Linked DNA regions of Pelodiscus sinensis. The protein of the gene in region 3 purifies or fractionates together with the protein of the main gene of each other region. This does not show direct contact. Links are inferred from orthologs where the notes say so. Each region holds a gene or a part of one and is shown on either strand. Other genes may lie near its edges. The genes, in order: EXOC3, EXOC7 and EXOC6B.

Evidence for each region.
Region 1: the proteins of EXOC6B (region 3) and EXOC3 purify together in Homo sapiens (affinity purification with mass spectrometry; 3 studies listed by BioGRID and IntAct, counting the BioPlex papers as one, with this or other methods). This does not show direct contact. The link is inferred for Pelodiscus sinensis from reciprocal best matches to the Homo sapiens genes EXOC6B and EXOC3.
Region 2: the proteins of EXOC6B (region 3) and EXOC7 purify together in Homo sapiens (affinity purification with mass spectrometry; 3 studies listed by BioGRID and IntAct, with this or other methods). This does not show direct contact. The link is inferred for Pelodiscus sinensis from reciprocal best matches to the Homo sapiens genes EXOC6B and EXOC7.

Annotation. Positions count from the first base shown.
Region 1 is NC_134712.1:144,900,317-144,909,942, forward strand, and holds the start of EXOC3 (exocyst complex component 3), read left to right. Parts: upstream 1-5,452; 5' UTR 5,453-5,573; intron 5,574-6,164; exon of another isoform or gene 6,165-6,187; intron 6,188-9,626. UniProt on the Homo sapiens protein: Component of the exocyst complex involved in the docking of exocytic vesicles with fusion sites on the plasma membrane.
Region 2 is NC_134730.1:10,780,743-10,790,753, forward strand, and holds the start of EXOC7 (exocyst complex component 7), read left to right. Parts: upstream 1-5,776; 5' UTR 5,777-5,905; coding exon 5,906-5,965; intron 5,966-7,568; coding exon 7,569-7,634; intron 7,635-9,609; coding exon 9,610-9,794; intron 9,795-10,011. UniProt on the Homo sapiens protein: Component of the exocyst complex involved in the docking of exocytic vesicles with fusion sites on the plasma membrane.
Region 3 is NC_134715.1:131,707,842-131,717,403, forward strand, and holds the start of EXOC6B (exocyst complex component 6B), read left to right. Parts: upstream 1-5,254; 5' UTR 5,255-5,364; coding exon 5,365-5,477; intron 5,478-9,562. UniProt on the Homo sapiens protein: Component of the exocyst complex involved in the docking of exocytic vesicles with fusion sites on the plasma membrane.

The DNA.
Region 1 (9,626 bases), on a different chromosome or scaffold from region 3:
GTAATAAATTGTGTTCATTAACTAGGAAAAAAGAAATTAAAGTTATTTATACATTAAAGCAAGCAGGCACATACACACAAATGAGTTATCTAAATCCTAAGAGTAACAGAGTTATCATGCTTCAGGGGGTAGCGGAGTTAGTCTATACAGGATAAACTTAAAAAACAACAAATGGTCTGGCAGCACTTTATAGATTAACAAACCATGTAGATGGTATCATGAGCTTTCGTGGGCACAGCTCACTTCTTCAGATGATCTGTTTGTCAGAGGCTGGAGAAGGATGGCAGGAGACAAATCGCTTGATCATTGTCTTTGGTCCACCCTCTCTGGGGCACCTGGTGCTGGCAACTGTCAGCAGACAGGATACTGGGCTAGATGGACCTTTGGTCTGACTCAGTATGGCCATTCTTATGTTCTTATGTTCTAAGTCCTGTGGCACCTTATAGACTAACAGATTTATTGGCGTATAAGCTTTCGTGGGCAAAGACCCACTTCATCAGATGCACTTGTAATCTCATTACAAGTGAGATTAACACATGCAGTAATTTACAAGCATATCATCTAAACACTTTATATACTTTTATAATACTAATTGAGCAAAACTAATCTGCAGGTAACCTAGTCTGGTCTCCAGCTATTAGTTTGTTAGTTCTTAGCTAGTATCTGAGGCTTGGGCAAGAGCTAGCACCTAGTTTGTCAGCATCAGAGTTTGAGGTTATATAAGTCTGAGCATTCCATGGTGAATTTACATGGGTTCACGTCTCACCCCTGAAAATGTCAGGGAAGCACTGAGCAATGCCTCTGCTACTGACAGCAGTCACAGAAACTGTTGACCTCTGGCTGGTGCCTCTGCCACTGCTGCTGCAGTCTCTGCATTGTCTTTCACTGCAACAAACTGCCCTATGTAATTTGAGCCCTGGCTTCTGGAAGCATAAGCCCGGAAAATAGCCATTTTAAAAAGAGATTCTAGGTAGCTTTCCCTCCTAAATCTCTCCCCCCCCCCCCCCCCCCCCAGCTAGAATCTTAGGACTGGAAGGGACTTCAAGAGATTGTCTAGTCCACCCCTCTGTACTCATATACATCGTATTATTGATGTGATGCAAGAGAAAATGGTCCAAGTATATTGAGTTTTACCCAAGCTAGTGCATGGCACACAGTAATTCTTTGGGGGACCCAAACTGAGAACAGTATTTAAGAAAATGTACATTTTTACACTGCCCATGCACAAAAGTACAGAAAAATAGCTAAAGAGTTTCCATCCCTGACATTTTATGCACTTTAAACTCAACTCTTTAAGTGCTCTAAAATCCAAACAGATACTCAAATTTGCTTTTAAATTTGATATCCTTAATGGAAGCACAAGGCCATCAAATTTGGGGTCATCTGACCAAGGGGTTCTAATTTAGGACATCCCCCAAAAACATTTCTCTTCTTCTGCCTTGTACTGTTAAACTGAGATTAATGACTGGATGAATCACAGACCTCTTCATGACTGTGAACTCACCCTTCAATTAACATAAGTAAGGATAAGTTCTCCATAAACCCTCACCTAAAACATAAGGATTATTGAACTTAGTGGCTGGAGGTTGCTTTAGTTTGTGAGTCCTTGTGTGGTGTGATTTCATTTTGGGGAAAACACAAGAGCTTGGCTACGTCTACACTGGCAGCTTCTTGCACAAGAACTCTTTTGCAGAAGAGTTCTTGTGCAAAAACTCTTCCACAAGAGAGCGTCTACCCTGGCATGTGCTTTTGTGCAAGAGATGTGCAAAGAGATGCGCAAGAGATCCAGGGAACTGACAAGTATAAAAATGGGGTGCTCTTGCCATGGAACTTTGGGTTCTGTCCTGCCTTGGCACTTCGGATCATGACCAACAGAACCCAGCTCCTCACTCATGTTCAATCTAACTGGCCACTAGATTGATTTGAGTTACCACAGACTAGTAACTAGTATCATCTGCTAGACCTGTGTGTGTGGATGCATATGCTACTTTTCCTGTTGTATTGTCAATATATGTGGCATATTGTCTTCCCCCTGAAAAAGATCCTGTGTGCTTCTAATAAGCACAACACAGTATTTGTGAAGGAGCTTGGATGCAGTAGGAGGTTTTTACCTGGGGCAAGATGTTGGGAGTGTGGAAGGGAGTAGGGTATCAGATACAGGCTCTGGCCAGGAATCGAAAGTGTTTACTGGAGACAGAGCCAGGCGGCAGCCCATCAGGATGCTTGGATAGGCTCCCTTCCTTCTGCGGTCCCACACACTATTCAAAGTGGCTGGCTGCTGGGGTCAGTGTGTGTCTCTGGGCAGTGCGCCCCTTGGGAGAAGGGGCTAGCAGGTCTCCATGTGCTGCATGTACCTGCAAGCACTGAGCCTGCAGCTTTCATTGGCTGATTTCTGGCTAATGGGCGCTACGAGGATTGTGCTGGAGGTGGGGGCAGCACACAGAATCCTCTCCGCAAGCAGCATGCACCACACAGAGATACACATGCTTGCCCCAGCAACCGGATGCTTTGAGCAGTGTATGGGACCACAGAAGACAGGGTAGCATCAGGCTGCATTCAAATATTTGGCAGGCTGGATCTGTACAGGCTGTATTTTGCCCATCCCTGCTCTAGCCTTAGGTCTACAATGGCAAAGACATTTTTCCTGTAATGGTAGCTCTGGGCTGGGTGGAGCCAGCCATCAAAAGCAGGGAATGTCCAGTGCTTCTCCTTGTTTTCTCAATGACTCATCTGCTGCAGAGGTAGATTTAAATGAAACATACCGTACCCTGGCATGCCCCCTCCCAATGACACAGAGCCCCCCTGGGCTGGGCAGTCCAGTACCGGATCCAACACCCCCCCACACAGGGGGTGGCCACTCTGCAGGGAAGTGGGGGCCAGTCCCTCTGCAGAAAGGGCTGGGTGGGGGGGAGAGCAAGAGAGCAGGGAGGCCCACCTGCAGACTGCAGCCTCAGGTGAGCTGTCAGAAGGTAGTGAGCAGTGCAAACATGATCTGGAAGGCTTCAGAAGAGCCACACAGCCGGCCAGAGAAAAGCGGTGCTTTGAAGCGGGAAAGCGCTGCTTCTCTTTGGCCGCCAGCTGTGCATCTACCCAGTGATCTCTAACGCCTTCCAGCCTGTGTTTGTGCTGCTGGATGCCACCTGGTGAGTGGTGGCTGCCCGCAGGCAAGGGGGAGAGTGGCCAGGGGATAGAGAGCCCAGGACGGGGAGAGGGGCAGCACTCAGATGACTGATAGCACTATGCCTCCCTCACCTTTAGGTAAAGCACATGTGGGTCTCTGCCCACTTCTTCAGGCCAGCCAATGCAGGGCCACTGGGGCACCTGAAGGTGTCCTCTGCAGCCACAGAGATTTTTTTTTTTTAAATAAAGCACTCTTATCCAAAGCACTTTGCAGTAATTAGCGAATGGTACAAACAATATTTGGAAAGATCATTAAGTGGTCCACCCGAGACCTTCAGCAAATTTCAAATGGTCTGTGGAAAAAAAAGTTAGACTACAAAAACAATCAAGGCGCCTCACTTTATTTTCATTTACTTCTTATTACTTATAATATAGAAGGAGGGGGGCAAAAAGGAAGCTGAGCACTGGGCCTCACTAACTCTAAATCTGCCACTGATCAGCTGGCAAGTAGGGAATGAGGAGGAGGGAGCTGCCTGATTCAAAGAAGGGACAAAAGTTGAACTAGAGGGAGGGAAAGGAGTAGACTAGTAGACTAGGCTAAGGAGTCTGGTGGAACTGGGTCTGGTGTGGAAGGGGGCAGAAACCGTCTGCAGTGTTGCCAACACTCATTATTTTGTCATGAGTCTCATAATAATTATTGTTTGCCTTAAAGCCCCAGCTCGTACAGTCAAACAAAGATGCGATGTTTTCAGCCTTTATTCTCAAAGGAAAAATGAGTGTCTAGCCCTTATGGTTGTGGAGAAATTTTCAAAGTATGATCCCCATGCACCCTAAAGGCTCAAAAAGCAAATGAAAACCCATTTTTACATAATCTCATGATTTCTGAACATTTCCAGTTTTCTGGAGTTCAGCAGAAAAGGACCTGGGGATTACGGTGGGTGAGAAGCTGGATATGAGTCAACAGTGTGCCCTGGTAGGCCAGAAGGCTAATGGCATATTAGGGTGCATTAGGAGGAGCATTTCCAGCAGATCTAGAGAAGTTATCATTCCCCTTTATTCAGCACTGGTAGGGCCACACCTGGGCTACGTCTAGACTGGCATGATATTCCGCAAATGCTTTTAACGGAAAAGTTTTCCATTAAAAGCATTTGCGGAAAAGAGTGTCTAGATTGGCACGGACGCTTTTCCGCAAAAGCACTTTTTGTGGAAACAAAATACAGGACTATGTAGCACTTTAAAGACTAACAAGATGGTTTATTAGATGATGAGCTTTCGTGGGCCAGACCCACTTCCTCAGATCAAATAGTGGAAGAAAATAGTCACAGCCATATATATACCAAAGGATACAATTAAAAAAAAATGAACACATATGAAAAGGACAAATCACATTTCAGAGCAGAAAGATTCTGTACCAATCTAGACGCGCTTTTGCGCAAAAAAACCCCGATCGCCATTTTCACGATCGGGGCTTTTTTGTGCAAAACAAATCTGAGCTGTCTACACTGGCCCTTTTGCGCAAAGGCTTTGCACAAAAGGGACTTTTGCCTGAACAGGAGCAGCATAGCATTTCCGCAAGAAGCACTGATTTCAGACAGTAGGAAGTCAGTGTTCTTGTGGAAATTCAAGCGGCCAGTGTAGACAGCTAGCAAGTTTTTCCGCAAAAGCAGCTGCTTTTGTGGAAAAACTTGCCAGTCTAGACACAGCCCTGGAGTATGGCATCCAGTTTTGGGCCCCCCACTATAGAAAGCATTGGAGAAGGTCCAGCGGAGGGTAACCAAAATGATTAAGGGGCTGGAGCACATAACCTATGAGGAAAGGCTCAACCATTTGGGCTTATTTAGTCTGCAGAGTGAGGGGGGATTTGGTAGCAGCCCTCAACTTCCTGAAGGGGGGTTCCAAAGAGGATGGAGAGAGGCTGTTCCTAGAAGTGAGGGATGGCAGAACAAGGAGCAATGGTCTCAGATTACAGTGGGGGAGGTCTAGGTTGGCTATTAGGAAAAACTATTTCACTGGGAGGGTGGTGAAGCACTGGAATGGGTTCCCTAGTGGAGTCTCCATCCCTAAAGATTTTTAAGTCCTGGCAAACGTGTCTTGCCCGGGAGCTGCGCGCACAGAGGCTGACAGCCCAGGGAAAAGCAGCTCCCAAGGACACGCTTTCGAATCCCGCCCCGCCACCAGGGGGTAGGGAAGGGCGAACGCCACGCCACGCCCCTCGCTCGGACACAGCATTGAAGACTATCAGCGCAGGCGCAATGGGGAATTGGGAAGGAAAGGACTGGCAGAGGATAATACGCATGCGCAGTATGAGAAGCGGGGAGGGAGGGAGAGCGAATTGGTTTCGCGCTTGCGCAGTGAGCCTGAGGTGCCGGGCGGTCGCTCTGCGATTCCGGCGTCCAGGGCGGCGCCTGCGCATTGCGCGCCTGTCAGTGACTTCCTGGGAGCTGGCAGCGCAGGTACGAAGTGGCGGCCTTCGAGGCCGGTGTCGCTCCGCCTGGTCCCCGCGGGGCGCCGGCTGCGGGCAGGACCGGGCTCTGGGAGCGCGGGGCCGAGCACTGCGGGAAGCCCTGGCCGAGGAGAGGTTGGGGCGGGGGCAGGTTGGCAGGGGCAGGTGGGATGGGGGGGGGTTGGTTTCTGCCCCCTTGCCACGACGCTCTGGCAGCTACTGCGCGGAGCAGCCGTTCCCGTCCCTGCGAGCGTGACCGTAACCCTGGGGGGGGGGGGGGCTGTGCCGGTCCTAGCTCATCTCGGGGCCTCTTTGTGCTGCTGGGGTGCGGGCACAGGGCGAGGGGCCAGATGGGCTGGGCCTGGGTGGGATCCTGTCGAGTTACCTTCCGGGGTCCTTGCGTTATTACTGATGGGGCGGGGGGACCGGAGGGTCTGGTGTCAATTTGAGGATTCGCGGAGGCCAGTGCAGAAGAGAAGCCAGAGAACCTTTGAAGGACTCCCCATTGCTCACGGCCTACAGAATCGAAATATCAAACCTGTTCAATGTGGGGCGCTGTTTTAAATTTTGCCCTTTTACTTACTTCCCTGATGTGGCAGCTGTCCAGAAGCACCTGTGCATTAGGTAGGAGCCTCTTTTGAAGCACAGAAGGGAAGGGTGACCCTACCCAGTCTTTTTACTTTTCTTTCTTCTCTTTTTTTCTTAACTCTCATTACAGAATCCCAATGCTCCTTCATATTTTCCAGTTTTGTGATCTCCAACGCCTCTTTTCTCTGCCCCTTGAAAAATGTCAGCCTCATAATTCAGTTTGGACAAACTTGTTTTAAACAAGTATTTACAACTTATTAATTTAGATAGCTGTATTAGCTCCATTTTGAGCACTACACCGGTAAAATTTTTAAACAGAATATCAAGAAATCTGTGTTATGTTTCCCACAGTCCCTGAGGCCCTCAGTCCCTATCAAGCCTCTCTCTGGTAGTAGGTGCTGAGCAAACATATAGGAAGAAGTAATGCTTCCCTAATATGTTTATGGTATAAAAATTCAGAAAACAGAAAGGTAGTGTGATACTGTATCCAAGCAACATAATATTGATTGTATCTTTTTTAGTTCTATGTTTTATTTTAAATATAAATACTTTTAAACGGCTTGTCCCGTTTAGCAGGGAAAAAAACAGGTATTCTGGCAGCTGCATCAGTCTTTTATTCAAGAGGCTTGACTCTGGAGCTGGAGGTGCTCCATGTGGTTTTAAAGGGGCTTGCTGAGATGTCGTTTTGGACAGAAAGATGTCAGTGGCTGGAAATTCCCTACTGTTGTTCAAGTCCAATCAGAGAGAGAATTTCAGTGTTAATTTTCATAGTCCAAGCTCTCACCTCACTAGGGTGCAGAGGATGATGGAGTAGTTGTGCCAGTGTCTGCTTCCAAGATTTCTCATGATTTCCAAACAACAGCTAAGTGAAATTGACATGGTTTTTGTTAGTTTGCTGCACCTATAGTATTATGTAGTATCAGTCTTGTTAATTTCACTCTGTAGATGATTGGGAAAATCATGAAGAGCAACAAAGGCACCAGAGCTTGTTTGTCTACAAACTCAGAAAGATAACACATCATGGGTTAATGCTTTCATATTGAGAAGATTACCCTGACAGCTGTAAATCTGAAAACCTTATTTTTTAACTTAACGTTTAAGCTCCTTAGAAAATTAATAGCTTAGGCCTTCTTCCTTAGCACATAATAGGCCTTATTTGCAACTAATAAAAGAATTTTTCAAATGCTGTCAAATTATATAATTTGTTTATAAAGCCAGCACATCGATCGTATATACTTGATTGTTGTCTGTCCCAAGAGGAAATTGTCAACAATCAATGAAAACATCCTATACTAAATCCATGCTTAACATTAAGGTTGTAGGGACTGATGATCAGATTGAGATGAGTCTGGAAAGCCCCATTTATTAATATAATCTGTTTAACATAGGGGTTTAGAGACAGAGTGGTAGTTGACAAGACTGTTAAAGTCAAGAAATGCTTCCTTGAAGAGGAGTCTCACCAGTGCCTTTTCAAAGGGTTGGTGTACCCTCCTTTCACAATGGAAAGTGTTAATGATCCTCACAGAAGATAGCTCCAAACCTCCCACATTGGTCTATACAGCCACCATTGCCAAAGATCCAGCTTTATGAATTTGCCACTGAAATAATTTGCTTTTATTAATAATGCAGAAACAAATTCGATGGTGTATTGTCATGCAATTTATACATTAGGTGTTGGTCTTTGGATGATTTGAGAATTTATTAGGCATTATAGGGAATCACTAAACTGCATCTGAGAGCGAATTTCTCAGGCCAGGTCCAGAGACTTATGATAATAGGGGTGGTGCTGTAGTGCTAAAAATAGCTGTGTAGCCATTTCTTTGATGTTGCAGCTCCAGCTGGAACTGGGCTGGGAGATTCACTCTCAGATGCAATGCAGACGTTTTTAGTGACGGTATGAGAGTATATACTTGTCTGGTTTTATTTTTCTGTGTTTAAATAAACACCTTCAAAAATGTTAAACTTGACATATATCCTTCAAATCAGTACTACATATCTGCTTAAAATGTTCTGAAATAACAAAATGCTTAAAGGGTTGGAGAAGTATATTGAGCAAATGTGGTTTCCTCCCTTTAATATCAGAAGGATATACTGAGGTTTTTCCTGGAATAGATATGTCTTAGAATATGGGGAGGGGAAGTGGATAAGAAACAAGAGGATCTAAGATACTAATAATAATACAGAGAAAAACTGATAGGATGGAGTTAAGACTGCTAGGTAGTACTTAATCCTCCCATGAGTGCAGGGGACTAGACTAGATGACATCTTGAGGTCCCTTCCATCCTATGATTCTACATCAGTAATTTAGGGTAAAATACAATACAGGGATATTGTAATTCTATTAAAAAATTAGAATGTCAAGAAACTCACATTTAAGATTAAACTTAAAAGAAATTCAAAGATGTTAAAATATGTAAATGCAGTTTGGGTTCTCAAACAATCTTAACTTTATCCTATAGCAATAGAATAGAATAACTGTATGATTATTTAAAATATTTGTGTTGCTGATTAAACTTATTTTTAAAAGACACACTGATCTTTTTCCTCTTTCCTCCTCCCTAGTAATGTCATGATAAATCCTACCAAAAATTGCTCTGTCAAAATGGCTGCCATCTTCTATTATTGCCAGGGGGCCACAGGTTACCCTTCGTGGAGATGCTCTCTTTCAAATTAGGTTTTTCCTCCTATGTTCTCAATAGAAGTGAAGCCAGCCTACTCAGAAGATGGTAGCCTCTGATACTGTTAGGAGGTAGAGAGCAACCCTGTGAGTTGCTGGTGAATGGTGTCATTGGCATTCTTTGTTTGCTGCTAGTAAGATGCTAGTTTGCTGCTAGTAAGCATTTTGCAAAGTACCTTTTTGGTGGCATTATCTGAAGAAGATTATTGTTCACTAAGTCTGATGCATAAACTTTCTTTCTGAAGGACGAAGGCAAACATGATCTTAAAACTTCAAATGTATTCTCAGTGCAAGATTTCAGAGCGTTTTAAAAACCTGGGAAATTTGAAGAATCTGTGTTAATCCATTATTAAGATAATTTATATCAAGGTCATTTGGGATTAGAAATGTCAGGGTACTAAATCCCTTTACAGTACCCATGTTTTAAATTAATTCTAATTCATACTAATTAAAGGGTTTACCTGTAAATTATTAGAATATTCATTCTATACTCAGTGGCTACATCTAGACTGGCATGATTTTCCGCAGATGCTTTTAACGGAAAAGTTTTTCCGTTAAACACATTTGCGGAAAAAAGTATCTAGATTGGCACGGACGCTTTTCCGCAAAAGCACTTTTTGTGGAAAAGCGTCCGTGCCAATCTAGATGCGGTTTTGCGCAAGAAAGCCCCGATCGCCATTTTCGCCATCAGGGCTTTTTTGCGCAAAATGGTTCTCAGTTGTCTACACTGGTCCTCTTGCGCAAAAGCTTTTGCACAAGAGGGCTTTTTCCCGAAAGGGAGCAGCATTGTATTTGCGC
Region 2 (10,011 bases), on a different chromosome or scaffold from region 3:
AGCCAAAGAGCTGATATTCTGATTTAACAACAGACCACATCTCATTGTTTGTTTTAACCATTACAATACAGCTCCCTTCCCCAGTAATGGATTCAGGAAAACTGGGCAGTGAGTGATGTGCTGATTCATTTACAGGGGACCACGATGGGGAAATGTCCTGATTTATACTATGCTTCTAGCTGCCAATGGCTTCCCAGCCAGGTAACATAGTTCCCACTTCCCTGTATATTAACACAATTGTTTGCTAAATAGCTTACAACACAATATTTACCTTGACCTGTGGCATTAAGACTTTTTCCTCCACCCCCAAAGGATTGTCACAAATAAATTACATTGGAACACAAGAGGTGAAGGGTTTTGGAGGGTGAATTGGCTTGGATGAATTATCTAAAACAATATTCCCCTATGGCTGGTAGTTGGAAAATCCCTCGTGTGCCTTTTTTGGTTGGAGGCTAGCTGTAGAGACTCTGCCAAACAAATGCCTCTTCTCCCCAACTGAGTAGTAAAAGGAGGAAAGCTGGTGCTTGGGGACACCTGGCGGATGTGCTGCATTTCACATGTTCTGGGAATTCATTGCATGTTGCGGATCTTTTGTCTCACTGAAATTACTCTTCTCCTTGTCACAGCAACAGTATTCGATGTATGATTTTTTTGTGTGGCTTTCCTTTTGGAAGGCTCAGCAGGAATCAAGAACTGGTGGCTGCTACAGGCTATGAGTACTTTTGGGGGATGCCCTCTACCTGTCTTTATATGTGTACTCTCTCTAGGTACTTTTATAGCTCTCCTCAGTGTCCAAATGCCTCTGTATCCGCACCATGCAAGGCACTTGGAGAAGAAAATTATCAAGAGAAGGTGGGAGTGCTGATATGAATTTCAGAATGTCTAGAGACTTACTCTCATCTCCACTGGCAGGAAGCACAGGCTGTGTCTAGACTGGCAAGTTTTTCCTCAAAAGCAGCTGCTTTTGCGGAAAAACTTGCCAGCTGTCTACACTGGCCGCTTGAATTTCCACAAGAACACTGACTTCCTACTTTCTGAAAACAGTGCTTCTTGTGGAAATACTACACTGCTCCCGTTCGGGCAAAAGTCCTTTTGCACAAAAGGGCTGGTGTAGACAGCTCAGATTTGTTTTGCGCAAAAAAGCCCTGATCGCGAAAATGATGATCAGGGCTTTTTTGCGCAAAAGCACGTCTAGATTGGCATGGACGCTTTTCTGCAAAAAGTGCTTTTGCGGAAAAGCATCTGTGCCAATCTAGACGCTCTTTTCCACAAATGCTTTAACAGAAAACTTTTCCGTTAAAAGCATTTGCGGAAAATCATGCCAGTCTAGACGTAGACACATTGCGTAGCTCCCATTAATGCTAACTGGTATGGCACTGTTGGCCTCCACGGCAGTAGCCAAACACTAAGGCAGGGTTTGGGAACCTCAAGCTTGTAGCCCCCACCTTGCCTGGATCTAGCCCCTGAAGCTCAGCCACCTCCCCCCAGCATTGGGGAGTTCGCAGTGGCACTCCAGCCCCCCACCGTCCCATCACGGGGCTGGAGCACACAAAATCTACTAGGCTAGCCCTAGGCTCTGGTGTGCAAGGGGAATGTGGGGAGTATCTTTCTCCTAAGTTGGGGACCATGTCAGTGAGGGTTGGGGGGGGGGCTTTCCTTCTCACTTGTGGCCCAACTGATTTTTCTGTGAGTCAGTGGCCCCAGAAAAGGTCCAGAAAAGGTTCCCCAGCCCTACATTAATGGGAAGCCCCTGAGCCCTGGTCTTTAGCTACCCATTTTGTAACTGCAATGCCAAAGGCAAACTCACATATGATATCAATAATACTGGTTTGCACTTCAGTGGCACTCTCCAGCTACAGATTCTGAGAATTAGAGGATTAATGAATCTTTGTGACATGTCTGCAAGGGTGGTGGTATAATACCCATTTTTGCAATAAGGTAAACTGAAGAGCAAAGCAACAGGTTGAGTAAATAGAGCCAAAAGTGGATCAAGTGACTGCTCCCGATCAGTAGCCAAACTATAACAAGCAACCAGGAGCCCTAGCTCAGAGGCGGCAACCCCGACTAAAACTACTAGTCAACATTCCCCCTTCTTACACTCAGCTGGTATTTTAAAAGGGAAGTGTAGGCTCCCTTTACTAAAGGAGCCTCTAATTTTTACTGGGGGGATCCTTTGTGCTGCAGTCTAGCCCTAGAGACAACAACTCCTATGAGCCCTTGGGGAAAAGGAGGGAAAACTGTTGCTCTCTTGTAGGCAGTGCAGAAAGAGAGTTGGTGGGCTCCAATTTGGAAAGAGGAGCCAGACTGCTGCTGTGGAACCTTTTTCTAGTCCAGGAGCTGCTGCTCAAAGCTAGAGCCTGCTGCTGAAAGCCTGTTGGCTTGGATCTAGCAGGCCAGCAGTTCCTAGCCACTGGTGCAAGGACCAGTGCCTGTATATGGCCCCACCTTTCAACCAACCAGCAGGAGTGGGGGGGTCTCCTCCCAGACACAGAAGAGCAATTCGCTACGTGGCGGAAGAGCTGCACAGAGCCTTGCACAGCAGCCTTACAGCAGCTGTGACCTGGGCAGCAGCACTCAGCTTGTGGTTAAGAGGCACCTCAGGGCTAGGTGGGGGGAGGTGAGGCAGGCACTGAGGGCTCCCGGGGTGGGGCTAGTGCTGGGGGGCTCTAAAAAGTGGGAGGCTGGCACTGGGAGGGCTCTAGGGATGGGGCTAATATTGGGGACTGGCACTGGCGGAGGTCTGGGGGGATTGGGTGCAGTGGGGTTCTGGAAACAGGAAGTTGGCACTGGGGGGTCTGGTGGTGGTGGGCTCTAAGGGATGGGGCTGGCAATGAGGCTTTTGGGACGATGGATTGGCACTGCTGGGCTCTGAGGATAGGAGGCTGGCACTGGGTGCAGGGAACTCAGGTCAGTGGCTGGCACTGGGGGGTAGTGGAAGAGTTGGGATTCTAGGGGTTAGGGCTGGTGCTGGAAGTCTCAGGGGGCCAGGGTGTACCCCAATCCCAGCACCACTATGAACAGCTGGCTTCAGCTGCAACAGCCACCTGCCATGGGCTATGCCCATGGCTCTGAAAAGCCTGCATAGAAGGTACTTTTAGTAACTGTGGCTGTTTGGGAAAGTGCTGGGGAAGGGGAGTCGGAGTCCCAGGGTCTGGGAGGGAGTTGTGACCTGGGGGGGAGGGATGCATATGGTTTGGATGGTGACCTGGGGAAGGGAAATGGGGTGCAGGAGGGGCTGGGGTGCCAGAGGCAGGCTCTGGCCAGGAGGAGCTTACCTAAGCATCTCCCAGCCTGCAGCACCCCAAGACAGGCTGGGCTCCCTGACTGCGGCAGCCCCAAACCACTTAAAACTGCAAGAGGTTCCCTTCATGTGGGACTCAGGTCTGGGAGGGGGGAGAGGCTTATGCTGCCTCCATCCCCCAGGGCAATCTCTCAGCTCACATTGGATGTTTGGTTTTGGCCAATAAGCGCAGAGAGATTGGCTGGGGTGAGTTCCTATTGGTCGGTTGTTTCCAGCCAATAGGAGCTGAGTATTGGGCTGGAGGCAGGGTGATCACCTGAAGCCTCCACCTCCCCCAGGAGTAGAGGCGTAGAGAGCAGCCCTGCTCTTAAAACAGTTGCTGCTGTATGCTAGAGGGTCCTAGCAGGGTGTCCATGGGCTGGACTGGGCGGCTTAGCCGGATCTGGGCTGCAAGAGGTATCTTGCCCACCCCTGCTTTAGAAGCAAGAGACTGCCACAAGCGGGTGGATAGCAAGGAGATCCCTATCTACCCAGCATCACCATAGGGACACTCAGGATCTCCTTTAATGTTAAAAACATCTGGTGCTCAGACACACAGGCGAGAGAGTGGTCTGCTCCTGAGTACTCCAGTGAGGAAAGGGAGGGTTACAGAAGATTGCCTGATCCTAAAATGTCTTAATAGTTACATGGCTGTCTCCCTGAACATAATAGAATGTAAATTGTGTAACACCGTGGTTCTCAGACTTTTTGGTCTGTGTCCCACCCTGCTCAAAACAAACCTTTTGTGGACCACCAGCAACCACCCATGATGACCAAATGGGAGCAGGAGTGGACTGGGAAGATGGGGAGGAGGGTCTGGCAGGGAAGTCGGATGCAGGAGAGGGGTGGAGGTCTGGCTGGAATTCCAGGAAATGAGAGTAGAATCATAGAACCATAGAGCTAAAAGAGACCTGAGAAGGTCCCCTGCCCACGTAGTGGGGAAAGTCTCTGAGGCTATGTCTACACTGGTGGGTTATTGCGCAAGAACAGCCGTTCTTCAGGAAAGCATCCACTGCCCACCTGCTCTTGCACAAGAAGATTTACGGTACAGTGTGGTAAGAGAGGGCTTCTTGTGCAAGAGCTATGCTCTTTTTTAACAGGTGTAAGCCCTCTTGCACAGGAGCTCTTGCACAGAGGGCAGTGTGGACGCTCGGCAGGGATTTCTTGCGCAAGAAAGCCCTATGGCTAAAATGGTCATCAGAGGTTTCTTGCGCAAGACAACATCCACATTGCCATGGATGCTCTTGCGCAAAAGCACAGCTCACACATGGCGGTGTGGACATTTTCTTGCGCGAGAGTTCTTGCACAAGAACCCGCCAGTGTAGACATAGCCCATGTGAGCAGTTTCCTGCGCTGCAGTTTCCCCAGCCAAGTGAGAGGGGGAGTGGCAGCATATGGAACCACTTCCTCCCCCTATGAGCTAGATCTGACCCACAAGGCTTAGGGCTCTCCCATCCTGCAGCGGGAAGCCAACCTTGCAGGGAGAAAGGGCTATACAAGGCTGGAGTGCCAGTGAGGACTCTCTGCTTGCAACTAGAGGGAGGGGAGAGAGAGAGGGCAAGCCCACAGCCCACCTGCAAAGGCAATCACAGACCACACTTTGAGAACCACTGGTGTAACAGATGAGGAAACAATCTGTTAAAAATGGGCAATGGTTTTTGGGATCCATGGAAGACCTTTTGAGACTGATTGATTGCTCTCCTAATATACAGTAAGGGTTTGGAAATGTGGAAGGAGGACACTGAGTTGACAAAAAACACATACTTGTATATTTCTCCCAAGAAATACCAGACATCTGGTATTTTTTGGTGGAACAAAAAAAAAAAAAAAAAAAAAAAAAAAGGGACGCGGTATTTTTTTTTTGTAAAGTAGGACAAGAAGGACAATTTTTTTCAAAGGAGGACAAAAGGAGGACATAATTATTGTGGAGGACAAGCCCCTCAAAAGGAGGACTATCCTTCTCAAAGGAAGACGTCTGGTCACTTTAGGGGAAGTGGGAATTAGGTTACCTGGCTGGGAAACCCTTGACAGCTAGAAACATAGTGTAAAGCAGAATATTTCCCCACCATGCCCCCCCCCATAAAATTAGCACATCACTGACTACACTGCACAAGGTATGTGCAAGTCAGCGATCCCCACAGCCAATCACTGTTGGCAGAGGGATGAGGCCCAGGGAGTGTAACAGCAAGTGTGCTGTATTTAACTCATGCCTGCAATTCCCTCCCCAGGCACTACCGATACACCTCCCCTGCCCCCCACCAATCCAGTAGTGAACATGACAAGAGCGCGCTCCAGTGGACACGCCCAATATGGCGGTCTATGAACATCGTTCCAAGGGCCTGCCACTCTTTATATGGCGCGCATTGGAGACGCGCAAGCGTACTTCTGCTCGCAAGCCGAGCCCTAAAGTCTTGGATCTGCGCATGAGTACTGGTTCCAAGATGGTGGTGTGTGGCGGGGCGCAGGCGCATAGCCATCTGCCGCGCTCAACATGGCGGCTCGGCGCTGACGGCGGCGGGCGTGAGGCGGAAGTGGGGAGACTGACTGACAGTGGCGGGCACGGCCGGGCTGTGGGTGTTTGGCAGGCCGGTGCCCCTTGGCTGTGCCCAGCGGTTCCGCGGCAGGATGATCCCTCCGGATGAGGCCTCTGCCCGCAGGCGGGAGATAGAGGACAAGCTCAAGCAGGTAGCGGGGGGCGCTGCGCTGGGCCCGGGGAGACCCCGACACCCCCACATCGTTGCCTGCTCCACCCCCGCCCCCAGGACAGCGCCGCCCCTGTACAGCCCCTTAAAAGACTCCCTCCCTCACAGCTCCAGCATCCCCCCCCGGACAGCTCACCCCACTGCTGCTCCCCCACCTGCCCTAGGGAGACCCTCCCTGCTACCCACCCACACTGTAGGGCCCTCACTCCCTAGGCAGGGACACTGCCTCTAGTGAGAGGCCTTTCCCTGCAGTGCAGTCTGGGATCCGCCTTCCCTAAACCGCTCCATTTCCCCTGGAATTGGCCCCCAGAACGTTCCCACGATTTGGGGCTCAGGGGAGCCTCCTTGGAACCAGATTCCTGCCTGGACAGCTCCACTCCTCTGGAACTGAGCCTGCTAGGCAGACCTCCCTGGAACTGAGACCTCCTTGCTCCCCCTGAACCAGACCGTACAGCTCTGCTCCTGTGACATGCCCCCTCCAGAGAAAGACCCCCTGAGTCCTCCCCCATGCCCTTTCCCCAACTGGGGCCTAACCTGTAGATGACATCTACAGAATGACTCCAGCACTCCATAGGCTCCTGGAATTCTTCCCTTGCAAAGAGAAGACCATTTCTTGAGAGCTTTTGCATAATTTCCCATAATTTCTCCACCCCATAATATCATCCATATCCCATCATTTTAAAAATAGAACATTTACTTCTGAAATAAATCAAACACAAGAGAAAAAGAACATTCATGTCCATTTTGGTATACACACAGCAACCATGGGTCTCACAAGTCAGTATTTGTGAAGCTGTGGTTTTTCTTACTGACCTCTGGTGTGGAATGGCACAGGTAGGGATATGGCCCCTGAAGTCACATGGAATGATCAGATCTGGGGATAGGAATGTTAACATGTAACCTTAATTGGTGTTGCTTACTGGGTAATAGTTAATCGATACCCAGGGAGCAGCCCCCTGGCCCAACTCAATGCTGCTCTAGCACCACCGGGATCCCATGCAGGGCTGGAAGCTGCCAGGCTGGAGCAACTCTTGACTACGGCAGGGGCGCTACTTCAGCCCAGCCGGAAAGTGGCATTTATTACTTTGTCATAATAGGGCACTTACATCGGTGGAAGACAAGTTTGAGTGTAGTCAGATACACAGCTAGGTCAATGAAAGGTGACTCGCATTGTCCTAAATTTGTAGTGTAGTCCAGAGGCAAGACAGATTTAAATTGAATTGAGAGTGTTTGCTACACTGGGTTAATTGATTTTAAACAAATTAAACCTTTAGTTAAACTGGTGCTACTTTGTATGTAGATTATTAGTTGATTCTCACCTGCTAACATTGTTTTGTTGTGTTTAAATTCATAACACTAGAGAACAGTGTTTAAATCCAGATGCCTCTGTATTGAAATTTAAAAACAGGTATATCATTTTAATGTTTCTGTTCTAATTAAAAGTGTACGTGTTTTTAAACTCCTTCTCAATTATTTGATATTTCCTTTAATAGAACTTAGAAATGCAGTTTTCTTTCAATCTTGTGTAAAGTTTGAAATTCACCTGTCATATAAAACTGATAAATTCTTCTTTATTCCAATGTCAGGAAGAAGAAACACTGTCCTTTATAAGAGAGAGCCTTGAAAAAAGTGATCAGCTCACAAAAAACATGGTAAGCAGGGTCCCGTAAACTAAGTTTAAAAAGGTAGGATATGGTTTGCTTGGTCTCTGATTCTGGTGCTTTCTCTCCTGAGAGTTTCTTTGAAAGCTCTGATTTGCCAACTTGGGAAACTTATGAGTTCACTGGGTACTGTTTTTAGATTAGAATCTTGAGGATAGGTTATAAAGTGTGTTGGGGTGCAAGTTTGCCAGGACTGGAAACTTGAGTTCAAATGATCCTTCAATCTGGTTTAATTTATGTGCATTTATAGCATTGCTCATCTCAGTATTTCAGTACCTCCTGAGTATATGACAGTAGAAATAAATCCACTCCAGCCAGGGGGTAAAATAGCTAATATTAATTGTTCTGTGTGTCAGGGCACAGGGGTGAAGAGCTTTGGGAAAGCCAAGTAGAAGAGTAATTTCTGAATACAATTTACTTGGTGATCTTTCTGAACTCATCTGGTAGTGAATTCAGTAACCTGGATCTGAAGGATCTATTGTTGGTTGACAGTTTTGTATTGCCTGTGTATTGCCATGATCCACCACATCCGAACAGAAGCATAGAATTGGATTTGGTATTAATTAGGGAGTCCATTCCCAAGGAGAAGTGTGGCATTGATGTGCTCATGGGCACTTGTGTTGTGTAACAGGTGGGCTGCTGGATGCTCTGCCTAATGGATTCCCTCACCCCACCTCACCACTTCTTATTCTTACTTTTGAGTTTTAGTAACTGAGTCTCAGTCACTGTAGCTGGATCTGAATCTGACTGGATGGAATTGTGTACTTTTTGTTATTGTTGCAAGGAGACTAAAGTGACCTCTAGCATTGCAAATCTCTGCCCAGGAGCTGAGAGAGCATGTGGAACTCAGACAAGACAGAGATGATCTTGCTGGAGAGAAGGAAGGGCTTGGACGAACTTTGTTCCTCCATATCATCCATTTTCTGCTGAGGCCACTTACCCTCTTAATTAAGTTAGTTGCAAACTTGGAGTTCCTTGACAACCAAATTAGGGATGTGAATGGATGATCAGTTAACCGGTAAGCATCACCCTTACTGGGTGATACTTATCAGACATTGTTAAATGGCAGGGGCTGGAGCAGCCCCTGTCCATGGCAGGAGGGAGGCGGCGATCCAGCCAATCTGCAAACACCAGCCTTTGTTTAATTGTTAACCAGTTATGTTTAACTAGATAAACTAATTAAACGGGATTGTACGTGCCTAAACCAAATGGTCATGGCAGAACAGGGCTATGAACATCAGTCAAATGACTTCTCCATCGTAAACTTCATTCACTCAGTACAATTGAGTAAAGCAGGCATTTTCAAACTTCATTGCAATGAATGACAATTTTTTTCATTAATTTTTTGTCAATTTTTATTTTTTCTGACTAAAATTATCACCACAGGAGAAGGGACCAAAGCCTGAGTCTTCCTGAGCCCCTCTACCCTGAGCTTGGGAAGTTGGGGGACTTGTAACCTGAGCTCCAACTTGCAGGGCTGAAGCTCTCAGGCTTCAGCTTGGGCTTTGGCCCCATGCACCGGAGCTCTGACTTTAACTTCAATCTCGGAACCCAGCATTAAAATGGGGTTGCAACCCATTTTGGGATCCCAACCTACAACCTGAGAACCCCTGGAGTAAAAACTCTGCTTCAGCCTTTCCCCTCACCTGAGATAGCTACAGTTTATCTCCCTTTGGATACTTCCCTAGCACCTGTTGTATGATGATTTGAGTGCTATACCAATGCTAAATATAATACTAATAAGTATATGGTGATGTTTAATATTACTTCCATTTACACATTGGAAAGCAGAAGCATAGGTGGGTTAAGGGATCTGCTCAAGCAGACAAGCAATTCAGTGGTAGAGCCAGGAGTAGAAGCTGGGAATCTGGATTTCTATTACCCTCTTAACCGCTAGCTCACAATACAGTTGTGTTTTATGTGGAAGGAAATTCTCCATGCTGTTTGATTCTTTTGGGGGTTTTAGGTTTCCATCCTCTCCTCCTTTGAGAGTCGTTTGATGAAGCTGGAGAACTCTATCATCCCTGTGCATAAGCAGACAGAGAATCTACAACGTCTGCAAGAAAATGTTGAGAAGACCTTGTCCTGTCTGGATCATGTCATTAGCTACTACCACGTGGCTAAGGATACAGAGAAGATCATAAAGGAAGGGTGGGTCAAGTAGCAGAACCCTGCTTTCTTCTGCTGAATCTCTTTGTACCGGGTCTGTTTTGAATCAGGGTAGTTGATTGGGCAGGTTTCACAAAAATCTTGTTATTCTTTGATTTTTTTTTTTTTTTAATATATGGGAGTGGGATTGGTAGGCTGCACAGGCCTGGCACTCCCTGGGGGTGGAGAGGGTTTTGCAGGCCTTTTACCGCTCTCTGGG
Region 3 (9,562 bases):
GCCTCTATGTTTTGAGCTAAGAAGATAGGTAGCATTAGTAGTCACATAACTTTTGCAGACTAGCCACTGGATGAGATCACAGAATAGGAATTGCCTCCATGTCTTTCTGAATTCTCTATTTACCATATCGTGAAGGTATGCAGCTCCAGGCTTTGGGGTTCCTAAATTTGCCAACTATTTTTATCTTTCATTATATCACTTCCGTGTCTATTTGCTTCTGGTCCTCGGGGAGCAAATATCACATCTCCATGGTGACTGCCAGTGGAGTACAGATTTCCTCTCTGGTTTTAACATATCCAGAATGACATCCATCTGGTCCCTTAAGACACCACATTTGGCAACTGTAAATGCGATCTAAAACAACTATTGCACTAACACAATCTAACTTTGTTTTGGGAGCTTCCCCTGCCGTTTCCTCTGCCAATACATTCAGGATACATGTAGTGATTTGGACACTTCTTCTATCACCTTTTCATTTAATTGGGTGATATTCTAAGTCAAAGCTATATCCAGATCAGCAGCATTCAACCTTTTAGCAGTCAAAGAAGGGGACTAGAAGAGTCGTTCTTGTTTATTTATAGCTTAAAACTTGAAACAACCACCTTTGATTAAAAAACAAGCAATAGTGTACATAAACTGTCAGTGTTTCTCAACCTTTTTTTTATAAAGTACCCCTTTAAAAAATTATATGTACCCCCAGTACCTACAGTTTTCAGACACACAATTTTTTTCTACCATTGCAACACATTTGTTTAAACAATTTAATCGTAGCCAGGCAGGCAATGAAATTTTTGGGTGTAAAAAGTACAAAAATAATAAAGCACTGTAAAACTTAAAACAAAAATTCAGTTTTCTCCAAATTTCGGTTGTGTTGAGGTACCCCCCAGCCTTCTCTTGAGTACCCCTAAGGATACTCGTACCACTGGTTGAGAAACACTGGTCTAAGTAATCTGTTCCTACCACAGTTCCTGCCATCTTTCTCGCATTCCATTTGTTTGTTCCACCCATTTGCAGTTTGTTTAAATTATAAACTCTTTGGAGACAGGGACCAGCTCTTTCTACGTGTTATACAACACCCAATGCTGCCATACAAGTAATGGAAGAACCTGAGCAGAACTGTGAGGATAATAAATAATGACAACAAGAGCAATAACATAGAACATAACATAAGAACATAAGAACGGCCGTACTGGGTCAGACCAAAGGTCCATCTAGCCCAGTATCTTGTCTGCCGACAGTGGCCGGCACCAGGTACCCCAGAGAGGGTGGACAGAAGACAATGATCAAGCGATTTGTCTCCTGCCATCCCTCTCCAGCCTCTGACAAACAGAGGCCAAAGACACACTTTTATCCCCTGCCTAATAGCCTTTTATGGACCTAGCCTCCATGAAATTATCTAGTTTCTCTTTAAACTCTATTATAGTCCTAGCCTTCACAGCTTCCTCTGGCAAGGAGTTCCACAGGTTGACTACACGCTGTGTGAAGAACTTTCTTTTATTAGTTTTAAACCTGCTACCCATTAATTTCATTTGGTGTCCTCTAGTTCTTCTATTATGGGAACTAATAAATAACTTTTCTTTATCGGCCTTCTCCACACCACTCCTGATTTTATAGACCTCTATCATATCCCCCCCTCAGTCTCCTCTTTTCTAAACTGAAAAGTCCCAGTGAGCCACTTAGTTATCAGAGAGAAATGCTGAGAACCAAAACGACAAGACCTTTGTGACAGAGATGCTGATTATAGAACCCAGAGGCCATCTGGTAAGATGCTTCCCTGGTGTTCTTGGCCAAATGGCCCTTCCTTAGTACTATTGAGATGCTGCTGCTCTTCACCTCAAAAGGGACTGTCTTCTGGTTGGGTTTGTAATTATATATATGGTGAAGCATTTGGGGATAGTTCAAGACTGAAAGGCAGTTTGAAGCCAATGCGTTGTTTTCATATTGGGGGAACACCACATGAGTCAGACCTACTGCCAGAGCCCTTTACTGGGATGGACTCAGGGGCCAAGTTAGACTGAATGAAGTCTCTCCCCCCAATTAAAGCACTTCTGTCTGGGATCTCTGCCCCATACAGAGGCAGCGGGGGAAATTCTGACAGTTGGAGGCTCCCGGTGAGAGGCAGTGAGAACAGGTCCCGTGGCGTGGTGTGATGTGTGTTTCCTCCCCACAGTTACCGAGAGTGGACTGATTGGAATGTGTACAACTTCCTTCACGGAGGGCCACTGGGGTGTAGGGTGCCCATCCATCACCTTATTTTAAGGGGCTAGTCCTTATTTTGTTGATGTCTTCCTTTTAAGGGACATCTCTTGATTTGATTTTAAGGGATATCCCTTGATCATTTTAAACATTACATCGAAGCTTATGAATCCCTGAGGGGGTAACCGTGTTAATCTAAATTTGCAAAAACAGCGAGGAGCCCTGTGGCACCTTAAAGACTAAGGCTATGTTTACACTGGCAAGTTATTCCGGAAAATCAGCCATTTTTCCAGAATAACTTGCCAGCTGTCTACACTGGCCCCTTGAATTTCCGGAAAAGCACTGACGATCTAATGTAAAATCGTCAGTGTTTTTCCGGAAAAACTATGTTGCTCCCGTTCAGGCAAAAGTCCTTTTCTGGAAAACTGTTCCGGAAAGGGCCAGTGTAGACAGCCCAGATTTCTTTTCCGCAAAAAAAGCCCCGATCGCAAAAATGGCGATTGGGGCTTTTTTGTGGAAAAGCGCGTCTACATTGGCACGGACGCTTTTCCGGAAAAGCATCCTGCCAATGTAGACGCACTTTTTCCGAAAATGCTTATAACGGAAAAGTTTTCCGTTTTAAGCATTTCCGGAAAAGGGTGCCAGTGTAGACGTAGCCTAACAGTTTTATTTTGGGCATAAGCTTTCATGGGTAAAAAACAGTTTGTTTTGCCCACAAAAGCTTATGCCCAAACAAATCTGTTATTCTTCAAGGTGCCACAGGACTCCTTTTTATTGAAGCTTACAATAATTGAACTGTATTCGTGAAGGCAGTAGAAAAGTACATTTGAGAGAAAAATACATGCTGTGCTGAGAGAAATGGCGGTTCCTTCAAGTGTCCAGTAAAATTAAGTACTGTTCTTTATTTTTCATGTGATTTTCCGCTATTTCTATCCAGCAAAGGTGAACACCCTCTTGGGGCAGGTCTGATGGTAATCTCCCCCAAGGAGGGGCACCCGATTAGATCTGACGGGGTGGGGGGTTCTTCAATGTGGGGGCCTGGGAGCAGGTTTCATAGGCATGAGGTCCTCCAATAAGGGGCTCTGGGGCAAGTTGAGAGGTTTTGGGGTTGCCTCCAATGAGGGGCCCTGGGAGCAGGTCTGATGGGGCGAGGGGTAAGTCCAATTAGGATTCTAGGGCAGGTCTGACAGGGATGGGGAGTCCCCAATGAAGGATGCTGGGAGCAGGTCGGACATGAGTGGGGGTTCCCAGTGAGGGGCTCTGAGATGGGATCAGGCTCCCCCAGTGACAAGCCCTGGGGGCAGGACTGATGGGGTGGAGGGACTCCCCATGAGAAGCACTGAGAGCAGATCTGACAGGGGTAGAGGGTGCTCGATGGGGGGCGCTGGGGCAAGTTTGATAGGTTGGGGGGTGCCCCCAATGAGGGGCGGGTCTGACAGGCGGGGCCCCCAATGAGGGGCGTGGGGGCGGATCCGGCAGGCGGCCCCAAATGAGGGGCACCGGGGCGGGTCTGACAGGCGGGGCCCCCCCAATGAGGGGGCGGGGCGGGTCTGACAGGCGGGGCCCCCCCCAATGAGGGGCTAGGGCGGGTCTGACAGGCGGGGCCCCCCCAATGAGGGCGCGGGGCGGGTCTGACAGGCGGGGCCCCCCCCCAATGAGGGGGCGGGGCGGGTCCCCAATGAGGGGGCGGGGCGGGTCTGACAGGCGGGCCCCCCCCAATGAGGGGGCGGGGCGGGTCTGGCAGGCGGGGCCCCCCCAATGAGGGCGCGGGGCGGGTCTGACAGGCGGGCCCCCCCCCCCCAATGAGGGGGCGGGGCGGGTCTGACAGGCGGGCCCCCCCCAATGAGGGGGCGGGGCGGGTCTGACAGGCGGTGCCCCCCCAATGAGGGCGCGGGGCGGGTCTGACAGGCGGGGCCCCCCCAATGAGGGCGCGGGGCGGGTCTGACAGGCGGGGCCCCCCCCCCAATGAGGGGGCGGGGCGGGTCCCCAATGAGGGGGCGGGGCGGGTCTGACAGGCGGGCCCCCCCCAATGAGGGGGCGGGGCGGGTCTGGCAGGCGGGGCCCCCCCAATGAGGGCGCGGGGCGGGTCTGACAGGCGGGCCCCCCCCCCCCCCCAATGAGGGGGCGGGGCGGGTCTGACAGGCGGGCCCCCCCCAATGAGGGGGCGGGGCGGGTCTGACAGGCGGGGGCCCCCCCCAATGAGGGGGCGGGGCGGGTCTGACAGGCGGGGGCCCCCCCCAATGAGGGGGCGGGGCGGGTCTGACAGGCGGGGGCCCCCCCCAATGAGGGGGCGGGGCGGGTCTGACAGGCGGGCCCCCCCCAATGAGGGGGCGGGGCGGTCTGACAGGCGGGGCCCCCCCAATGAGGGCGCGGGGCGGGTCTGACAGGCGGGGGCCCCCCCCAATGAGGGGGCGGGGCGGGTCTGACAGGCGGGGGCCCCCCCCAATGAGGGGGCGGGGCGGGTCTGACAGGCGGGCCCCCCCCCAATGAGGGGGCGGGGCGGTCTGACAGGCGGGGCCCCCAATGAGGGGGCGGGGCGGGTCTGACAGGCGGGGCCCCCCCAATGAGGGGGCGGGGCGGGTCTGACAGGCGGGGCCCCCCCAATGAGGGCGCGGGGCGGGTCTGACAGGCGGGGGCCCCCCCCAATGAGGGGGCGGGGCGGGTCTGACAGGCGGGGGGGGCCCCCAATGAGGGGGTGGGGCGGGTCTGACAGGCGGGGGGGGCCCCCAAAGAGGGGGCGGGGCGGGTCTGACAGGCGGGGGGGGCCCCCCAATGAGGGGGCGGGGCGGGTCTGACAGGCGGGGGCCCCCCAATGAGGGGGCGGGGCGGGTCTGACAGGCGGGGGGGGCCCCCAAAGAGGGGGCGGGGCGGGTCTGACAGGCGGGGCCCCCAATGAGGGGGTGGGGCGGGTCTGACAGGCGGGGGCCCCCCCCAATGAGGGGGCGGGGCGGGTCTGGCAGGCGGGGGCCCCCCCAATGAGGGGGCGGGGCGGTCTGGCGGCGGCCCCAGTGGAGGAGCGGGTGTAGGCGGGGCAGTGCGGCGCGGGGGCCGGACTCCATTTCCCGGCGTGCCGGGCGGCAGGGGGCGGGCGCGGCGCGGGGGTGCGGCGGCCGGGCCGGGGCTGAGGGGAGCGTGCGGGTGGCAGCGTCCCAGCCGGGCCCGCAGCCCATGGAGCGGGGGAAGATGGCGGAGCTCGAGAGCCTGGAGACGGCGGCGGAGCACGAGCGGATCCTGCGCGAGATCGAGAGCACGGACACGGCCTGCATCGGGCCCACGCTCAGGTACCGCCCGCCCGGCGGAGCCCCCGGATAGAGACTCCTTACCCCCCCCGGGCAGGGACCCCCTGAGCCCCCCCCGGATAGAGACTCCTTACCCCCCCGGGCAGGGACCCCTGAGCCCCCCCCGGATAGAGACTCCTTCCCCCCCGGGCAGGGACCCCTGAGCCCCCCCGGATAGAGACTCCTTACCCCCCCCGGGCAGGGACCCCTGAGCCCCCCCGGATAGAGACTCCTTACCCCCCCGGGCAGGGACCCCCTAGAGCCCCCCCCCGGATAGAGACTCCTTACCCCCCCGGGCAGGGACCCGCTAGAGCCCCCCCCGGATAGAGACTCCTTACCCCCCCGGGCAGGGACCCCCTAGAGCCCCCCCGGATAGAGACTCCTTACCCCCCCGGGCAGGGACCCCCTAGAGCCCCCCGGATAGAGACTCCTTACCCCCCCGGGCAGGGACCCCTGAGCCCCCCCGGATAGAGACTCCTTACCCCCCCGGGCAGGGACCCCTGAGCCCCCCCGGATAGAGACTCCTTACCCCCCCGGGCAGGGACCCCTGAGCCCCCCCGGATAGAGACTCCTTACCCCCCCGGGCAGGGACCCCCTAGAGCCCCCCCCGGATAGAGACTCCTTACCCCCCCGGGCAGGGACCCCCTAGAGCCCCCCGGATAGAGACTCCTTCCCCCCCCGGGCAGGGACCCCTGAGCCCCCCCCGGATAGAGACCCCTTCCCCCCCCGGGCAGGGACCCCTTACCCCCCCGGATAGAGACTCCTTCCCCCCCCGGGCAGGGACCCCCTGAGCCCCCCCCGGATAGAGACTCCTTACCCCCCCGGGCAGGGACCCCTTACCCCCCCCGGATAGAGACTCCTTACCCCCCCCGGGCAGGGACCCCTGAGCCCCCCCCCGGATAGAGACTCCTTACCCCCCCGGGCAGGGACCCCTTACCCCCCCGGATAGAGACTCCTTACCCCCCCGGGCAGGGACCCCCTAGAGCCCCCCCGGATAGAGACTCCTTCCCCCCCCGGGCAGGGACCCCTGAGCCCCCCCCGGATAGAGACTCCTTCCCCCCCCGGGCAGGGACCCCTGAGCCCCCCCCGGATAGAGACTCCTTACCCCCCCGGGCAGGGACCCTCTAGAGCCCCCCCCGGATAGAGACTCCTTACCCCCCCGGGCAGGGACCCTCTAGAGCCCCCCCCGGATAGAGACTCCTTACCCCCCCGGGCAGGGACCCTCTAGAGCCCCCCCCGGATAGAGACTCCTTCCCCCCCCGGGCAGGGACCCCCTGAGCCCCCCCGGGTAGAGACTCCTTACCCCCCCGGGCAGGGACCCCCTGAGCCCCCCCCGGATAGAGACTCCTTCCCCCCCCGGCAGGGACCCCCTGAGCCCCCCCCGGATAGAGACTCCTTAACCCCCCGGGCAGGGACCCCCTGAGCCCCCCCCGGATAGAGACTCCCTACCCCCCCCGGGCAGGGACCCCCTGAGCCCCCCCGGATAGAGACTCCTTCCCCCCCGGCAGGGACCCCCTGAGCCCCCCCCGGATAGAGACTCCTTAACCCCCCGGGCAGGGACCCCCTGAGCCCCCCCCGGATAGAGACTCCTTAACCCCCCGGGCAGGGACCCCCTGAGCCCCCCCCGGATAGAGACTCCTTACCCCCCCGGGCAGGGACCCCCGAGCCCCCCCCGGATAGAGACTCCTTACCCCCCCGGGCAGGGACCCCCTGAGCCCCCCCGGATAGAGACTCCTTACCCCCCCGGGCAGGGACCCCCTGAGCCCCCCCCGGATAGAGACTCCTTAACCCCCCCGGCAGGGACCCCCTGAGCCCCCCCCGGATAGAGACTCCTTAACCCCCCCGGCAGGGACCCCCTGAGCCCCCCCCGGATAGAGACTCCTTACCCCCCCGGGCAGGGACCCCCTGAGCCCCCCCCGGATAGAGACTCCTTAACCCCCCGGGCAGGGACCCCCTGAGCCCCCCCCGGATAGAGACTCCTTCCCCCCCCGGCAGGGACCCCCTAGAGCCCCCCCCGGATAGAGACTCCTTACCCCCCCCGGGCAGGGACCCCCTGAGCCCCCCCGGATAGAGACTCCTTAACCCCCCGGGCAGGGACCCCCTGAGCCCCCCCGGATAGAGACTCCTTACCCCCCCCCGGGCAGGGACCCCCTGAGCCCCCCCGGATAGAGACTCCTTCCCCCCCGGCAGGGACCCCCTGAGCCCCCCCGGATAGAGACTCCTTAACCCCCCGGGCAGGGACCCCCTGAGCCCCCCCGGATAGAGACTCCTTAACCCCCCGGGCAGGGACCCCCTGAGCCCCCCCGGATAGAGACTCCTTACCCCCCCCCGGGCAGGGACCCCCTGAGCCCCCCCGGATAGAGACTCCTTCCCCCCCGGCAGGGACCCCCTGAGCCCCCCCGGATAGAGACTCCTTCCCCCCCGGCAGGGACCCCCTGAGCCCCCCCGGATAGAGACTCCTTCCCCCCCGGCAGGGACCCCCTGAGCCCCCCCGGATAGAGACTCCTTAACCCCCCCGGGCAGGGACCCCCTGAGCCCCCCCGGATAGAGACTCCTTCCCCCCCGGCAGGGACCCCCTGAGCCCCCCCCGGATAGAGACTCCTTAACCCCCCGGGCAGGGACCCCCTGAGCCCCCCCCGGATAGAGACTCCTTACCCCCCCGGGCAGGGACCCCCTGAGCCCCCCCCGGATAGAGACTCCTTAACCCCCCCGGCAGGGACCCCCTGAGCCCCCCCCGGATAGAGACTCCTTACCCCCCCCGGGCAGGGACCCCCTGAGCCCCCCCGGATAGAGACTCCTTACCCCCCCGGGCAGGGACCCCCTAGAGCCCCCCCCGGATAGAGACTCCTTACCCCCCCGGGCAGGGACCCCTGAGCCCCCCCGGATAGAGACTCCTTACCCCCCCGGGCAGGGACCCCCTGAGCCCCCCCGGATAGAGACTCCTTACCCCCCCCGGGCAGGGACCACCCTGAGCCCCCCCGGATAGAGACTCCTTCCCCCCCGGCAGGGACCCCTGAGCCCCCCCGGATAGAGACTCCTTCCCCCCCCGGCAGGGACCCCCTGAGCCCCCCCCGGATAGAGACTCCTTAACCCCCCGGGCAGGGACCCCCTGAGCCCCCCCCGGATAGAGACTCCTTACCCCCCCGGGCAGGGACCCCTGAGCCCCCGCGGATAGAGACTCCTTACCCCCCAGGGCAGGGACCCCCTGAGCCCCCCCGGATAGAGACTCCTTACCCCCCCGGGCAGGGACCCCCTGAGCCCCCCCCGGATAGAGACTCCTTACCCCCCCGGGCAGGGACCCCCTGAGCCCCCCCCGGATAGAGACTCCTTACCCCCCCGGGCAGGGACCCCCTGAGCCCCCCCCGGATAGAGACTCCTTACCCCCCCGGGCAGGGACCCCCCTGAGCCCCCCCCGGATAGAGACTCCTTACCCCCCCGGGCAGGGACCCCCTGAGCCCCCCCCGGATAGAGACTCCTTCCCCCCCCGGCAGGGACCCCCTAGAGCCCCCCCCGGATAGAGACTCCTTACCCCCCCCGGGCAGGGACCCCCTGAGCCCCCCCGATAGAGACTCCTTACCCCCCCCGGGCAGGGACCCCCTAGAGCCCCCCCGGATAGAGACTCCTTCCCCCCCCGGCAGGGACCCCCTGAGCCCCCCCGGATAGAGACTCCTTAACCCCCCGGGCAGGGACCCCCTAGAGCCCCCCCGGATAGAGACTCCTTACCCCCCCGGGCAGGGACCCCCTAGAGCAGCCCCCCCGGATAGAGACTCCTTACCCCCCCGGGCAGGGACCCCCTAGAGCCCCCCCCCCGGATAGAGACTCCTTACCCCCCCGGGCAGGGACCCCCTAGAGCCCCCCCGGATAGAGACTCCTTACCCCCCCGGGCAGGGACCCCCTGAGCCCCCCCGGATAGAGACTCCTTACCCCCCCGGGCAGGGACCCCCTGAGCCCCCCCGGATAGAGACTCCTTACCCCCCCGGGCAGGGACCCCTGAGCCCCCCCGGATAGAGACTCCTTACCCCCCCGGGCAGGGACCCCCTGAGCCCCCCCCGGATAGAGACTCCTTACCCCCTCGGGCAGGGACCCTC